Saccharomyces cerevisiae S288C: one gene and its partners. The gene in region 1 interacts genetically with each later gene. Each region holds a gene or a part of one and is shown in the gene's direction. Other genes may lie near its edges. The genes, in order: JID1, CRG1, ALT2 and HEM25.

Region 1 (3,928 bases):
CCAGGGGATTTGTCGGCCGAGCCGAAGATCACCTGCCTCTCCGACGTCGGCTTTGCAGCTGCGGCAGCTCCTAGCGTAAGTAGCAGGAAAAAAAAGAAAGAAAATACTTTAAAGTACGCCTGCACCTGGGTTGCTCTAAACGGGAACAAGAGCCGGTTCCGATAACCGCACACTATTATTTCTAATCCCTCTACGTAATTGCTAAGCACACATGACTTCATACTTGCGTCACCCCGATTTTATTATTCCCTCCGGTTAAGCAAACGCCGCACCCCTGAGTCCGCCAGACCGGCCGCAAGAGAACGCAGTGTGTGTTCCTGTCTCTTTGCACGAACAAAGGAGATAGGACGGCACCCAGGCTCGCTAGGCGGCTACATGACTAAATGCCCAAGTTTCGTGCATTATGTAGAAGAAAATAGACGTCTGTGTAATCATTTCTTGAAGCAAAGCAATATTTGCAGGTTGAATGTAGGTCAACTGCATACTGGGAAGCGTTTTCTGACCGCTTCGGAAGCGTGAGCGGTCCGTCTCTTACAACTCGTTTGGAGCTACATGGTGAGACAACATTGGCGCGCACGCCAATGTTGTCCTTCTCAATGGCCATGCAAACACTGCTATTTTATCGATAACTGTTGTGATCTTGGCTTAGTTCTTGTGCTTTTTACACCCCGCAGTAGCGCTAGTTGTATGATTGCGGTTATCTGTCGCTTCTGTTCTCGTAACGCGCAACATGGAAGAAAAAATACTGAAAAATAATTTTAACAAAAGCTTGAGCAGAATGGGCATGGTACAACATCCATAGGCAAAAAAAAGGAATACATATACTCCGCTGCTACCTCCTCAACTAAACAATGACTTTGAATAACGTTGCAAGGCCCGACCTTTGTGTTTCGTATGTTTTTCACCGACAATTTTCTTTCAAATTTGCTGATATTGCCAATATATACTAACAGTTCAACCGCTCCCTTTCTACCACAGGTACAAGAAAATTGCGCCACCAAAAGGACTATATTCTGCCACACCAAGCATATCTGGTGTGGTTAACCAATCCATGCCTATGGCCGCTATTTTCTTGAGGAACAAGTTCATTGCCTGGTTCTCCCTGATTCAGAGTGTACACTACTACCTGAACACCGACGAAGACATCATCGTTGCCTATAAGGAAAATAAGGCACCATCTCCAATGGACCAGCCTCCTGCAATCAAGCTATTCATGAGTTTAATCGGGTTATGCGTGTGTTACATGAACTTAGTTTTCCCTCAACAAATAGCTCAACCATCGTCTAGCGGCTCTAAAGGTAATACTGAAACGACAATTGAGACAACTACCGAAGTAGAGACGGAAACAGCTAAGCAGTAGGCTTATCCTATCCTCTATTTCCGCCCTGCCCCATCAAAAGGAAGGAAAAAATAGTAAATACGGGACTTCCTGTGTCGTTTTTTCATTTCCTAGGTTTTTTTCAAGTCTTCCCTAGTAGTGTATGCACAAATATATAAAATTAAATACGTAAATACAGCGTGCTGCGTGCTCTACTCACCAATATCTTCAAACCAATCCTGAGGTCTTTCATCGATAAATTGTTTCATGATCTTTTTACACCTCTCATCGTCAACAACAACAACCTCGTGACCTCTAGTTTGTAAATATTTCTCGCCCTTACTTTTGAAATTAACGTTCTCACCGACAACACAGCGTGGAATACCATACATGATGATGGCACCTGTACACATGTCGCATGGAGACAGCGTCGTATACAAAGTGGTATCTTTGTACACTTTGCCCTCTAATCTCCCACAGTTTTCCAAAGTGGAGATCTCACCATGTAGTGTGGCGGATCCCTTTTGAAATCTCATGTTGTGACCACGACCGAGAACACTTCCGTCTTTGTTATTGATAAGACATCCGCCAATAGGAACACCACCCTCTTTGTAACCTAAGGCCGCCTCCTCATAGGCAATGTCCATACCCTTCTGATCCCACTTGCTTGCCATTCCCCCTGTCACCATTAGCTATGAAATTTTTAACTCTTTAAGCTGGCTCTCATCAACATAAAACAATGGCTTGTAGATCTCATTGTCGAATTGAAAATGAACTTTTTAATTTCGCAAAAAAAAAAAGAAAAGTTCAGGGTCTCCGGGTACTACCGCCCCTGCAAGGAATGACCGGTGATAATGGAAGAGAAGATATTACAGCGACAGTATAATTAACAAACACGTTGTGTCTTTAGGCTCGTAACTAACTGTACGTATATCTACACACCATAGGTCACTACTTGCAATATATTTGTTATGCTACACCATAAGTTCGTATACCCATTTTTATTCAAGTGGCACTTATCATGTGTAGAAAAGTGTCCCCCACAAATCACTTTTATAGCTAAGTATGCTACAGCGAACGATAAAAATGGCAATAGAAAACTTACGATAAGGGATGAACAATGGCCTGAGTTGGCAGATCCAACTCCCTATGATATTTTTGGCATTCCAAAGGCCGGATCTGGAAATCCTAAACTGGACAAGAAGTCGTTAAAAAAAAAATATCATCGTTATGTAAAATTGTACCACCCTGACCATTCCGATAACATTCAAATATTTAGCTCAGAAAAGGTTACCAACAGTGATAGTAAATCACCGCTGCTGCTAACATCAAGCGAAAAACTACATAGATTTAAAGTCATCTCTCAAGCATATGATATTCTTTGTGACCCAAAGAAAAAGATCGTATATGACACAACGAGGCAAGGCTGGACCACATCGTATTCACCACGTTCTAACGTTAATACTGAAAATTACCAATATGCCGGCTCTTATGGCTACCACTCTAACGCGCAGTATGAATACTGGAACGCTGGGACTTGGGAAGACGCAAATAGCATGAAAAACGAAAGAATTCAAGAAAACATCAACCCATGGACCGTTATTGGCATAATTTGTGGCCTAGCTATATGCATCGAAGGGACTGCGTTGTTAGCCAAAATCCAGGAGTCTCTGAGCAAGGCCGAATTTACTCATGACGAAAGTGGATTACATTTGATTCAGTCATACACGAATTATGGTCTTGATACTGACAAATTTTCCAGATTGAGGCGGTTCTTATGGTTTAGAACTTGGGGACTTTACAAGTCGAAAGAGGATTTAGATAGAGAAGCCAAGATCAATGAAGAAATGATACGCAAACTGAAAGCAGCTAAATGAAATCACCTATTGCGCCGCTCGCGGAATACAATTACTAAATTTTATATATATTCTTTAAAAATGCATCTATACATTCGTTTTTCCACGTATACCAAATTCGAAAAAAGTTGTTAAACCATCGTTTTCACGTTTTTTAATTTTTTTTTGGTTCTCTTTTTTTTTTTTTTTCAATATCAACTTTTTTTCAAACTTCGTGTTGCATTTCCTTTATCGTAAATTTTCAATGGATCTCTATAATCTTCGAAGTTCGAAGAAAAGAAGAAAAAAAGTATTGAAAAGTTGAAACATCGATTCCGTTTTGCTAACAAATAGCACTCAGCATCCTGCATAAAATTGGTATAAGATATGGATTTCACAAAACCAGAAACTGTTTTAAATCTACAAAATATTAGAGATGAATTAGTTAGAATGGAGGATTCGATCATCTTCAAATTTATTGAGAGGTCGCATTTCGCCACATGTCCTTCAGTTTATGAGGCAAACCATCCAGGTTTAGAAATTCCGAATTTTAAAGGATCTTTCTTGGATTGGGCTCTTTCAAATCTTGAAATTGCGCATTCTCGCATCAGAAGATTCGAATCACCTGATGAAACTCCCTTCTTTCCTGACAAGATTCAGAAATCATTCTTACCGAGCATTAACTACCCACAAATTTTGGCGCCTTATGCCCCAGAAGTTAATTACAATGATAAAATAAAAAAAGTTTATATTGAAAAGATTATACCATTAATTT
Region 2 (4,205 bases), on another chromosome or scaffold:
GATTTATGCTACAAACTCCTCGAGAAGCAAACTGAGGTAGAATTACCCACCCACAGCGCGATAAGTCACATTGGCGCCCTGGACTTGACGAATACTCCTATCAATAGTAAGGCTCGCAAACCGCCCGTCCATATCAAGCCATTAAATTCTGTTATTATCCTTAAAAGTGAAATGCGCACCACAAGCTTGATGGCATTTCCTTCTGCACTTCTCAAATTGATAGCATTGCCTTGCGAGCAGTAGATAATTTAGATAAAGTGTATCTTGCCAGGGCCTTCCCAGGCATTAACTAGATAATGTGTTCTTTTTTAGCTGAACTGTAAAGCGTAAATGTTAACGCTGGATAAGTACCGCGTGTACGGTTGATTGAATGATCTTACTGATAGAGGCCAGGCGGTTGATACTTTGTGCAGATTTCATACCGGCTGTCGCTATTATTACTGATGAATTGGCTCTCTTTTTGTTTAATGGCCCATCCGATCCATATTGCCTTCTTATGACTCAAAATTCTATTGTGTTTGCCGGTACCGGCCTTTAAGCTTTGAAAAAAAAAAAGCATCTGAAAAAAATGGCACTATAAAGAGAGCTAGTGGTAACAACTACATGTTTTCGTTAGAATAAATCACCCTATAAACGCAAAATCAGCTAGAACCTTAGCATACTAAAACATGTTGCAGAGACATTCCTTGAAGTTGGGGAAATTCTCCATCAGAACACTCGCTACTGGTGCCCCATTAGATGCATCCAAACTAAAAATTACTAGAAACCCAAATCCATCCAAGCCAAGACCAAATGAAGAATTAGTGTTCGGCCAGACATTCACCGATCATATGTTGACCATTCCTTGGTCAGCCAAAGAAGGGTGGGGCACTCCACACATCAAGCCTTACGGTAATCTTTCTCTTGACCCATCTGCTTGTGTATTCCATTATGCATTTGAATTATTTGAAGGTTTGAAAGCCTACAGAACTCCTCAAAATACTATCACCATGTTCCGTCCGGATAAGAACATGGCCCGTATGAACAAGTCTGCCGCTAGAATTTGTTTGCCAACTTTCGAATCTGAAGAATTGATCAAACTTACCGGGAAATTGATCGAACAAGATAAACACTTGGTTCCTCAAGGTAATGGTTACTCATTATACATCAGACCAACAATGATTGGTACATCCAAGGGTTTAGGTGTTGGCACTCCCTCCGAGGCTCTTCTTTATGTTATTACTTCTCCAGTCGGTCCTTATTATAAGACTGGTTTCAAAGCCGTACGTCTTGAAGCAACAGACTATGCTACAAGAGCTTGGCCAGGTGGTGTTGGCGACAAAAAATTGGGTGCTAACTATGCCCCATGCATCTTACCTCAACTACAAGCTGCCAAAAGAGGGTACCAACAAAATCTATGGTTGTTCGGCCCAGAAAAGAACATCACTGAGGTTGGTACTATGAACGTGTTCTTCGTTTTCCTCAACAAAGTCACTGGCAAGAAGGAATTGGTTACCGCTCCATTAGATGGTACCATTTTAGAAGGTGTTACCAGAGACTCTGTTTTAACATTGGCTCGTGACAAACTAGATCCTCAAGAATGGGACATCAACGAGCGTTATTACACTATTACTGAAGTCGCCACTAGAGCAAAACAAGGTGAACTATTAGAAGCCTTCGGTTCTGGTACTGCTGCTGTCGTTTCACCTATCAAGGAAATTGGCTGGAACAACGAAGATATTCATGTTCCACTATTGCCTGGTGAACAATGTGGTGCATTGACCAAGCAAGTTGCTCAATGGATTGCTGATATCCAATACGGTAGAGTCAATTATGGTAACTGGTCAAAAACTGTTGCCGACTTGAACTAATGATAATGAAGGTAAACATCCCCTCCCCCCCCAAAAAAAAAAAACGAGAATTCCTCTCAGAGGATCTGTTTTTCTCTCACTTTATTCACATAGATACATACTTTTTTACAATTCCTGTTGAGTTTATTTATTATAAGAAATATTGGATTACTATTATTATTATAGCTTATGCAAGCCATTGTGCGGCTTCTTACGCTTTTTGAAATTGTTGACCTAACAACTTGGCACATTATTGAATTTCATAGAGACTGCTTGTAATTTAGTTGCCAAGGTATCTCGCTGGACTTTACATGTAAAATGAATGCGGCAAGATACCCAAGAGAGTTGATTATGCCAAAAAAAAAAAATCTATAAGGATATCCCTGGTATTTTCTGAAGAATAAATTCTAGCGTAGTTCAGAAGAGGTGCAAGTACAGTATGAATAATGGTATGCCTTCCATCATCGTGGCATACAGGTTCAGGCATGAAGAGATGATTATGTTCCCTCACCGGTCCATAATCCTGATTTAAACAGTTCATTAGTATATGTTCAGCCAACACAACAACGAGAAGCTTTGTAGTGAAAGTTTTCCACGATCTATATTTAGCATTCTAATTAGCGGCCCCAAGGGAACGTATATAAACATAAACAAACGGCACGAACTAAAGGGGCAAATTCAAGTTAACCCTTTTACACTCAGTACATCTTCAAAGCCAGTCTTCTGTCAATGGAAGAATCCAGAATGCCTAAAACTAGTTATTTAAACAAAAATTTTGAATCTGCTCACTATAATAACGTACGTCCCTCTTACCCTTTATCTTTAGTCAATGAGATAATGAAATTTCACAAAGGCACACGCAAAAGTTTGGTTGATATTGGATGTGGCACAGGAAAAGCAACTTTTGTCGTTGAACCCTATTTTAAGGAAGTGATTGGGATTGATCCTTCTTCTGCTATGCTTTCGATTGCTGAGAAAGAAACAAATGAACGTAGATTAGATAAAAAGATTAGATTTATTAATGCGCCTGGTGAAGATTTATCCAGCATTCGACCAGAAAGTGTAGATATGGTTATTTCAGCAGAAGCCATCCATTGGTGCAATTTAGAAAGGCTGTTTCAGCAGGTTTCCTCTATATTACGAAGTGATGGAACTTTTGCATTCTGGTTTTATATTCAGCCGGAATTTGTGGACTTTCCCGAAGCCTTGAATGTATATTACAAATATGGATGGAGCAAGGATTATATGGGTAAATATCTGAACGACAACCAACGGGAAATTTTGTTGAATTACGGTGGTGAAAAGCTACGTTCTTTATTGTCAGATCGATTTGGAGATATTGAAGTCACAATTTACAGTCCTTCGGACCCAAATGCATCAACAGTAACGGCTGAAAACAGTCAGTTTCTCTGGAGAGCAGCTATTACTCTCAATCAATTTAAAGAGTTTGTGAAAAGCTGGAGCATATACACTTCTTGGGCTAGAGATAATCCCTCGAAACCGGATATTGCCGATATATTCATTAACGAGCTCAAAGAAATCTGTCATTGTGAAGATTTGAATGTACCTTTAAAAATAGAGTGGTCAACGTTTTATTACTTATGTAGGAAAAGAGAATGAGGTTTACTAAATTAAAAGAAATATATAAAAAGCTGATTTTTTTCTTTTTTTAAATATTTCCCAAATGCTAATAAATATTAAAATATGGCAAAAAGAAAATAAGGTGTTGTTGCGCAGTTGGGAGTAATTTAAAACCGTCAACATATGCTCTAAAAATTTTATTGGCTCTAAATTCCGACCTCTGAATGTAATTATGTTTTAAAGCGATACGTAAACTTGTTACTGTTAACATTAAAAGATAATGCAATCATGGTAACATAATAAAGTCTCAAAAAATTCTTAATATTAACTATAACATATGCACTTCAGAAAGCTGTTTCCGGATCATATCTCATTATAAAAAGCTCAATTTATAGAAAAATAATGCGACAGTGCAAAGTAAACAACTAAATTTGGTGCCTACACCGCAAAACGATATCGAGTCTTAGAAGTATATACCTCACCACGTCTCAAAAGAACGCAGTCTCTCCATCCATCACGGTTGATTGCGTCAACATATCTGCCTTGTTCAACGGCAAAGCCAGATCTCGGCGTAAATCCATCACACAAGTTGTCACCTGTGTAAAATAGGACAGTTGGTTCTGTTGTTGAAACCTCCAATGAAAGTCGTGATGCCGGATGATAAGCCTTGAAGGCAGGGACGAGCTTGTTTACACTTACTGAGTCTGTCGTTTTCAAATTCTTATTTTCATCAACAATGAAAGCGTAGTCATAAATCGGGCCATCATCCTGCAGAATGGTAGGTTTGGAGGAGTC
Region 3 (4,530 bases), on another chromosome or scaffold:
CTTAAGTTGTTACATGTTAATACTTTAGGGTTGGATTTATTTTACGGATAACATAGGATTTGCGAGAAATATCTGCTTCACTATCACTTTCCGTGCGACGTGTGTATTTGTTAGCGTAGGTTGCTTATCGTTTTCACACAAAGATCTCAAACGCGTCAAAAAACTCGTGTAAGAGGTCAAAAAGAAAAACAAACAAAATAAACAAACAAAATAAATGCAGCTTTAAATCAATATTCGGCGAAGGCAAGTAACGGTTGCTAGCGGTTTTTCCCATTCACATACTATTACACTTCTGCGGTACCAAGCTAGATTAAGTGCTAGATAATAAACCTTTATGATGCCAGCTAACGAAGATAAAGAGAATAATATCGTATATACAGGGAATGAAAGTTCCGGCATTAACTTTCCACAGACGCCGGCTCACTTGCTGAAAAGGTCGCACTCTAATATTTTAAAACCACCTGTAAGATTGGACCAACTCAAAAGGGATGCGAACAGCAACAATGGCAACACATTAAAGTACATACAAGGAGGGAAGGAGGTGTCACCCACAAAAAGGTTGCATACCCATGCGCAACAACAAGGAAGATTGCCTCTGGCAGCAAAAGACAACAATAGATCGAAAAGCTTTATTTTTCCCGAAACTTCTAATCAGAGTAAAGATGCAGACTTACCACAACTACAGAATACACTATCTATACGCAAAAACGACCAACTCAGGAAACTTTCGCAAATTTCTCGCAGTCGTAGTAGGGCCAACCATAATGATTTGTTAAGCAATTCAAGAAAGTTACAAAAGTACGGTTCTGTCCTTGGTTATAATGCTTTACCTAAAATGAAAAGTCTAGTTTTAAAAGATCTTGCAGATTCAGGTAAAAATGAAGAGAGTTCCGACGATGATGAAGGTAATGAAGATTCCGAGAGTAAACTTGGCAAAAAACTCCAAAGTGCACTTTTAAAACAGGATTCCTCCGACGGTGAAAATGAATTAAATGGTGGCCTAGGACTATTTAATGAGCAAGGTGGTCTGCAACAACTCATAAAGAACTCCACGAAGAATGAGCAAAAAACTAAAAACGATAAAAGTGATAAAACTGATGACTATGATATCGAAATAGCACCACAGAGGCAGGAGCCGTTACCGTATGTACCAGAAGGCTATTCCCCATTTCAACAAGATGATATTGAAAAGCTGAAGACGTTCAACTCACCATATAAGCTTGACTTGGAAGACGAAGATGACACCCCAGATAAAGTTGATTTACTCCCACTAGAACAAATTGATGAAGAAGGCGAAAAAGATGAGACTGAGTGCATCACTCGGAATCAAGAAGAAGGTGCAGCGTTACCACTGCTGTCTAAGAACTTCAAAGAAGTTGCCGCCGTCCCAACCATGGAGTTAGTGTACAGCGAAGAAGGCCTCGATCCTGAAGAACTAGAGGACTTAGTTACTTAGATCCACTGCTCATTCACATACACACAACATATATACACGTATATACAGATACTTTATAACATACAATTCTGGTTAAAAGCGGTTGCTCCTGCCGCCGGGATTTAATCTGCGGCCTCACCCATACCTCAACTACCGCCATTGTTCGTACGTTTTAAATGGCTTCGCTTCACCCTTGATTGGCAAAGGGTCCAAGAGGGATCACATCACGATACTATTGTTTCTACTAATGTGCTGCGGGCTGATGTCCTCCACACGTCTTCAATTGCTTCTCTTTATGGGTTCTCAAAGTACTTCGTCATAATTACTTCATTATACCTAAGAAAATAATTTCATTTTTTTTCTGAATTTTTTAGCAGAAAAAAAAAAAGTTCAAGTTTGGCCTCATTCGCAATATTTTCTCCATGGAAACGGCTTGTATCTTGAGGCTTCTCCTACTTGTTTGGCGATTTTATTTTATTTTTCCTACTCTTATGGTCCCATATGTACATCTACATATCTCTTCAAATTACCAATACACTTTTAGGATAGCTAAATTTACTACTTCGTGTGGGAACTATATTCTGTTCACTTTTCTTTTTGATCCTTTCTTGACTGACATCATCCTTTTCTCATTCAGTAAATACCCCAATATTTCCTCATATCTCTAGAGGCATAAAAGATAAGAATAAAGGGAAGGAGCGCCACAGTAGTGTTGTTTTTGTAAGTGGTAAACACAGAAGAAGTAAGAACACATGACAATGACACACCAACAGGATTTGAAAGGTGTGTTCACCGCAAAGGATTTGGATTTTAAGCCCGCTGGCAAGATTACTAAAAAAGATTTGAATACAGGTGTCACTAAGGCAGAATATGCTGTAAGAGGAGCTATTCCAACCAGAGCTGACGAGCTAAAAGAGGAATTGAAAAAAAACCCAGAAGTTTTGCCTTTCGATGATATTATCAATGCGAACATTGGTAATCCGCAGCAACTGGATCAGAAGCCTTTGACCTTTACCAGGCAAGTACTGGCCATCCTGGAGTACCCGGAAATTTTACGAGTAGGCCATAATGAACTGGCTTCTTTGAACTTGTTTTCCAGGGACGCCTTGGAAAGAGCTGAGCGCCTCTTGAATGATATTGGCGGTTCTATAGGGGCATATTCGCATTCTCAAGGTGTGCCAGGAATAAGGCAAACAGTTGCTGACTTCATTACTAGAAGAGACGGCGGTGAGCCCGCTACACCGGAAGATATTTATTTAACCACTGGCGCTTCGTCCGCGGCAACTTCTTTGTTATCTTTATTGTGTAAAGATTCTCAAACAGGCCTGCTGATTCCAATTCCGCAGTATCCGCTTTATACTGCATCCGCATCTCTTTTCAATGCACAAGTGCTGCCATACTACTTAGATGAGGAGTCAAATTGGTCTACAAACAGCGACGAAATTGAAAAAGTAGTGCAAGATGCTTTGAAAAAACAGATCAGACCATCTGTGCTGATAGTTATTAATCCAGGTAACCCAACCGGTGCAGTTCTTTCTGAAGAAACCATTGCCAGGATCTGTTTGATCGCTGCGAAATACGGCATTACAATCATTTCTGATGAGGTCTATCAAGAAAACATTTTCAACGATGTTAAATTTCATTCGATGAAGAAAGTCCTAAGAAAATTGCAGCATCTTTATCCAGGAAAATTCGATAACGTTCAGCTCGCCTCTTTACACTCCATTTCTAAAGGATTCATGGATGAGTGCGGCCAAAGAGGCGGTTACATGGAAATTATTGGGTTTTCTCAAGAAATAAGAGATGCTCTTTTCAAACTCATGTCTATATCCATATGTTCTGTTGTCACAGGACAAGCTGTGGTTGATTTAATGGTCAAACCACCCCAGCCTGGAGACGAGTCCTATGAACAAGATCATGACGAAAGGCTGAAAATTTTTCATGAAATGCGTACGAGAGCAAACTTATTGTACGAGACGTTTAAGGAACTAGAGGGTATCGAATGCCAAAAACCTCAGGGTGCAATGTATCTTTTCCCTAGGCTTGTTTTACCTAAGAAAGCTCTTTGTGAAAGCGAACGCCTTGGCATCGAACCTGATGAGTTCTATTGCACATCTTTGCTAGAATCTACAGGTATTTGTACTGTCCCAGGGTCTGGGTTCGGACAAAGACCCGGGACTTATCATGTGCGAACAACGTTTTTGGCTCCAGGGACTAAATGGATTCAAGACTGGAAAGAATTTCATCAAGATTTCTTCAGCAAGTATCGTAATTGAATGAAAAAAAAAAACTAATGATAATGGCTTTCTATTTGTTTTGCATCCATGGTGGGGGTGAAGTTTAAATTTGTAATAGTATACATGCATCATTCTTTACTAAGGGAAATAAGGAAAAGTATATATCTGCCTCTTGTAATATTGTTCAAGGAAATAAATTTTGGAGCATTCCTCTGCATCTATTGTTCAATTAAAAAAAAAAAAAAAAAAAAAAAAAAAAAAAAAAAGTAATTATTCATATAAAACCACCTTGCGGGCAAGATCATATTATCCAAGTTGATACTTATTTAAAAATATAAAAATTTTTTAACCGCGTACATTAAATACAGGGTCATATACAGGAAGAGCTTTCAACACCTTTTTGAATACTTTATATGCAATAGGTGCTTTTTTTTTTCACCTATGGTGACTCCTCCTTTCATTCTATCCTACATATTATTACAATTCCATTGATGTGCCAAAGTCTCTTGTTTGATCTCCATTACCCTGTTGGTCTAATTTCTGTCGTTTTGTTGACGGCGATTCCAGAGTTTGATAGTAGGAAGTTTCTGGTCTAGTTATTTCGACACTTTGATCTACTTGTGATGCACCGTCACTTTCTTTTTGATCCCCTTTTTCAGGCTCTTCTGTTCCCTGCATTGGGGCTGCCACGCCGGTGGACTCTATTCGGTCCTCATCGACATTATGAGGAGGCTTTTCTTCGGGAGTTAAGGTATTAGGTTCAAATTCGCCCTCTGAAGAATCATGTGCCAAATCATCATACTCATCGATATAGTTTTTTTCAGTTAGATCAAATTGTTTTTGCACTTCTTCTTCAAA
Region 4 (4,049 bases), on another chromosome or scaffold:
ACAAGCAGAATCATTTAAGTACTGAGAGTTTGAAAACAGGCCTGATGAAATAGAGTCCTCTTCTAAAGAATATCTCTTTTCTGGGATAAACCCATCATAGAATTTCTGGTTGTCTTTGTAATAGTTATATTCTCTTGAAGAACGTGCCATATGTAAATCGTTTGCAGAATATGATTTCTTTGGTGCCCTTTTATCTGTCTTTCTCATATTGTCCAAATCTGGTAGTGGCGGTAGAGGTGGTAACGGATTGTTCATGGACTCCTCGAAATTTCGTACTTGAGGCTTACTATGGCTAGCCAAAGGTAAATTTGGAGCTGAGTTATTATGATGTCGAGAGGATTGGGTATTATAGATATTTTTTTCATTTACCATTTCTTTTGATTTTGCCTTTCTAGCCTTTGTCAAAGAATCTACCGGCTTCTTGGGTGAATTGGGCATTGATGAAGATAGCTTCTTTTTAGGCCTTGGCCTCTCGTCAGAATACCTTGATGGTACTGGTGGAATAACAACTTTATTTGATTTTTCAAAACTTTCTACTATTTTTGAAGGTTGCCTACCATTTTCAGTGCTCGAATTTAATCTCTCCTCTAATAGTATGACGAAGTTATGAGGAAAATACCCAGAACATTTTTTGTTTCTCAATAACTTGCCGTAGAACCAAGAACCGGCAATCCTTGTGACTTCCATAATATCTCCCTCCAGAAAGCCTAAGTCGCCTTTAGTTTGGCCCGACCAACCATACCTGGCCTTCACCTTAAATGGTGGCTTCAAAGATGTTAAGTTAGTGGCCATTATGCAAATTTAAATGTAATACGGTAAATTCAGGAATTAAATGTTATAATTATAACTTCGGGACTGACCTTTAATGTTTCGAACTAAAATTATATGCGGTAATTAATACGGATAAAAAGATATTATTAAAAAAAGTGGTAAAAGCAATGTATGCTTATAGCAAACAGTTAATGTGTTAAAATATTAAGGACGAAGTGAAATCAGAAGAAAGAAAAATTAGTTTAACAGCAGTAGATCAAACTGATATTATAGATATGTTATGCAAACAGAGTCCCGTTAATTTTGGCCTTTTCTCTTGTTTTAACTGTATAATATCCAATTGTAGAGAGTAAATGAAACTAAATTCTCCTTTTTCAATACTTATTTTAAATAGTTGGTCCAAGCATGCAAGATATCAAGCTTGATCTCACCATCCTTTTCAGATCAGCTCAATGGCCACCAAACCAGCCATTCGAGAATTTTTCACTTCTATCGCGCCCTGACAGGCACCACCATTAATACATATTTAGAAAAAGAAAACCCTGCAATATTCAACTAGTTACGAAATTCACCAGTCTCAAGAACAAGAGGGTACGCTGAATGGATACAAACACTAAAGGATGGTGTTTCATCAGCGAGACAATGATTTTGTAATTTCTTGCTTTTTGGGTTTTGCTGAATCTCCAACGCTTGTGGTGACTGTTTCCTTTTGAATATCTATCAGTATCTTAAATGTTAAATATGTGTCTGCGTTATTGACCTATTTCTCTTGCTATATTTAGAAGTTGTGTTTGTTTCAAATGACTTAGATTTGAGTGAACGCAAAATTGAGCTTGAAAATCTCCAAGTCAACGGTGTAGTAGTATATTGCTTCCACATTAAATTCTCACGAGGGGGTGATTGAAGTAAAAGGATAAGCTTATACCAAAAGAAAAGCAAATAGCACAGCGGGAACAACTAGAAGGTACACAATTTGTGAAGCAGCATACATGACTGAGCAAGCAACTAAGCCAAGAAATTCATCGCATTTGATCGGGGGCTTTTTCGGTGGGCTAACATCTGCTGTTGCGTTGCAACCTTTAGACCTTTTGAAGACGAGAATCCAGCAAGACAAGAAAGCTACATTATGGAAAAATTTGAAAGAGATAGACAGCCCTCTACAGCTATGGAGAGGTACATTACCTTCAGCATTACGAACATCAATAGGCAGCGCCTTATATTTATCATGTTTGAACCTTATGCGCTCATCTTTGGCAAAGAGGAGGAATGCTGTGCCTTCATTAACAAACGATTCAAACATTGTATATAACAAGAGCAGTAGCTTACCACGATTAACGATGTATGAAAATTTACTAACAGGTGCATTTGCAAGAGGTTTGGTAGGTTATATAACCATGCCTATCACCGTCATTAAAGTCCGTTATGAGTCTACTCTGTACAATTACTCCAGTTTAAAGGAGGCAATTACCCATATATATACTAAGGAAGGACTTTTTGGATTTTTCAGAGGGTTTGGAGCTACTTGTTTAAGAGACGCTCCCTATGCAGGTTTGTATGTGCTGCTATATGAAAAATCGAAACAATTACTGCCCATGGTATTACCTTCTAGGTTTATACATTACAATCCTGAGGGAGGATTTACTACTTATACCTCTACAACAGTAAATACAACAAGCGCCGTACTATCCGCCAGTTTAGCCACCACAGTAACGGCACCGTTCGACACCATAAAAACGAGAATGCAATTGGAACCATCAAAATTTACCAACTCCTTCAATACATTTACATCTATAGTTAAAAATGAAAATGTGCTGAAGTTATTTAGCGGGTTAAGCATGAGGCTGGCAAGAAAGGCCTTCAGTGCAGGTATTGCGTGGGGTATATATGAGGAGTTGGTCAAAAGATTCATGTAAAAAATAGACACATATTTCATTGCAATCTCGCATTCTTCAAAAAAGGTATAAATACGTGTCTTTTTAGTTTCTTTATAGAGTGACGTTGAAGCTTAGTAGTACGTTCATACATACATACATACACACACGGTACAAAAGAAAAATCATATCAATAACAAGGAAGAGAGACTCTAACTATGAAATAGATTGGATGCGTTACAAGTGTTTAAATAAATATAAGAGAGTCGATGGATAAGTGCACTTATTGGCTTTTAGAAATGGCCTTCTCAACTTCTTCAGTAAGTATATCTGTTAGCTTTGTGCCATTTCTTAACGAAACCCACTCCCCATTGAGAAGGTCAAATCTGTTAGGCCCGGACAATGGTGATGCCAACCAAATTTGCTTATTTGGAGGCTGTTTGTTTATTACATACGTTCCAAAAGCTGGAATTTCCAATGTCATTACGCCATGGCTTAGCTCTACATCAGGTATACAATCCGGATGAGCCTCACTCAGTTCTTCTAAGCTATCTAGTAAATGGTCTAGGTAGTCATCTGCCTCTTCATGGTATTTTTCAAGCGGTAAGTTTAACACTTCTTGAGGCACAACTTGACCATCTGTCGAGGATTCTACAAATCTCTTCTGAAAAGTATTTACAGTATGATTCTTTTTATTTGTTACAGCTGGACAAAATCTGGCACGTTCTCCTCCTGCCGCTGCTATCATATATCTTCTGCCCATTACAGAGCTGACTCGAACTAAACTTGCGAGAGACCGCTTAATCATTGCTACACTCTATCTTCTCGCTTAGTTTTTTTTGAAATACTATCTTTCTGGTATTCAGTAGTACGTAACGATTTGTAAGTGTCTTCAAGCGAGGTTGCTTTCAATTAAAAATGCGATTCAAAGAGATCATTTACGGTTACTAATCCCTCATATCCTATAGGGCTATGTGGACATTGTAAGAAACGTGACTTTTCAAATATGATCACTGAATACGGTTTTTTGAAATTTGTCAAGTGCGATGAGTTGTATCTCTAAATCAAGCACCCATGATCTACGTTTAGTAAAAGAAAAGGACGAATTCCCTTAAAGTTCTCGGTGCCTAAGTCAATAAGTCCGGAGCATGAATCTATACGGTTATTTTTTACTTCTCATTATTGTGATTGCTTTCATTGCATTGTTGCCATTGTTTTCTGGCATCGGTACATTCAAACTAACAAAACCGAAATCGTCTGCAACAGCACAGTCAGCGACTGGTAAGCTTGGTAAGAGGGAATATTTGAAAAAAAAACTTGATCATACCAATGTATTAAAGTTTGATCTGAAGGACACGGAGGAAAGCCTTGGCCATGACAGTGCAAGTGCCTCTTCCGCTTCCAGAA

The links.
Region 2: mutations in JID1 (region 1) and CRG1 together harm fitness more than expected from each alone (negative genetic interaction), as found in Saccharomyces cerevisiae (2 studies listed by BioGRID).
Region 3: mutations in JID1 (region 1) and ALT2 together harm fitness more than expected from each alone (negative genetic interaction), as found in Saccharomyces cerevisiae (2 studies listed by BioGRID).
Region 4: mutations in JID1 (region 1) and HEM25 together harm fitness more than expected from each alone (negative genetic interaction), as found in Saccharomyces cerevisiae (2 studies listed by BioGRID).

The regions. Positions count from the first base shown.
Region 1 is NC_001148.4:675,244-679,171, reverse strand, and holds JID1 (Jid1p), read left to right. Parts: upstream 1-2,289; coding exon 2,290-3,195; downstream 3,196-3,928. Other genes in the region: YPR064W (uncharacterized protein), read right to left, coding at 1-221; YPR063C (uncharacterized protein), read left to right, coding at 852-892, 979-1,360; FCY1 (cytosine deaminase), read right to left, coding at 1,531-2,007; chorismate mutase ARO7, read left to right, coding at 3,541-3,928. UniProt on the Saccharomyces cerevisiae protein: Probable chaperone.
Region 2 is NC_001140.6:516,864-521,068, forward strand, and holds CRG1 (S-adenosylmethionine-dependent methyltransferase), read left to right. Parts: upstream 1-2,573; coding exon 2,574-3,449; downstream 3,450-4,205. Other genes in the region: branched-chain-amino-acid transaminase BAT1, read left to right, coding at 669-1,850; YHR210C (aldose 1-epimerase superfamily protein), read right to left, coding at 3,849-4,205. UniProt on the Saccharomyces cerevisiae protein: Probable S-adenosylmethionine-dependent methyltransferase which mediates cantharidin resistance.
Region 3 is NC_001136.10:677,422-681,951, reverse strand, and holds ALT2 (alanine transaminase ALT2), read left to right. Parts: upstream 1-2,187; coding exon 2,188-3,711; downstream 3,712-4,530. Other genes in the region: YDR114C (uncharacterized protein), read left to right, coding at 1-28; PDS1 (securin), read left to right, coding at 335-1,456; replication fork barrier binding protein FOB1, read right to left, coding at 4,150-4,530. UniProt on the Saccharomyces cerevisiae protein: Inactive alanine aminotransferase. Forms a catalytically active Schiff base with PLP, but lacks alanine transaminase activity, probably due to an altered structural conformation of the dimeric enzyme.
Region 4 is NC_001136.10:245,324-249,372, reverse strand, and holds HEM25 (Hem25p), read left to right. Parts: upstream 1-1,760; coding exon 1,761-2,684; downstream 2,685-4,049. Other genes in the region: CYK3 (Cyk3p), read right to left, coding at 1-792; YFH1 (ferroxidase), read right to left, coding at 2,926-3,450; EXP1 (Exp1p), read left to right, coding at 3,791-4,049. UniProt on the Saccharomyces cerevisiae protein: Mitochondrial glycine transporter that imports glycine into the mitochondrial matrix.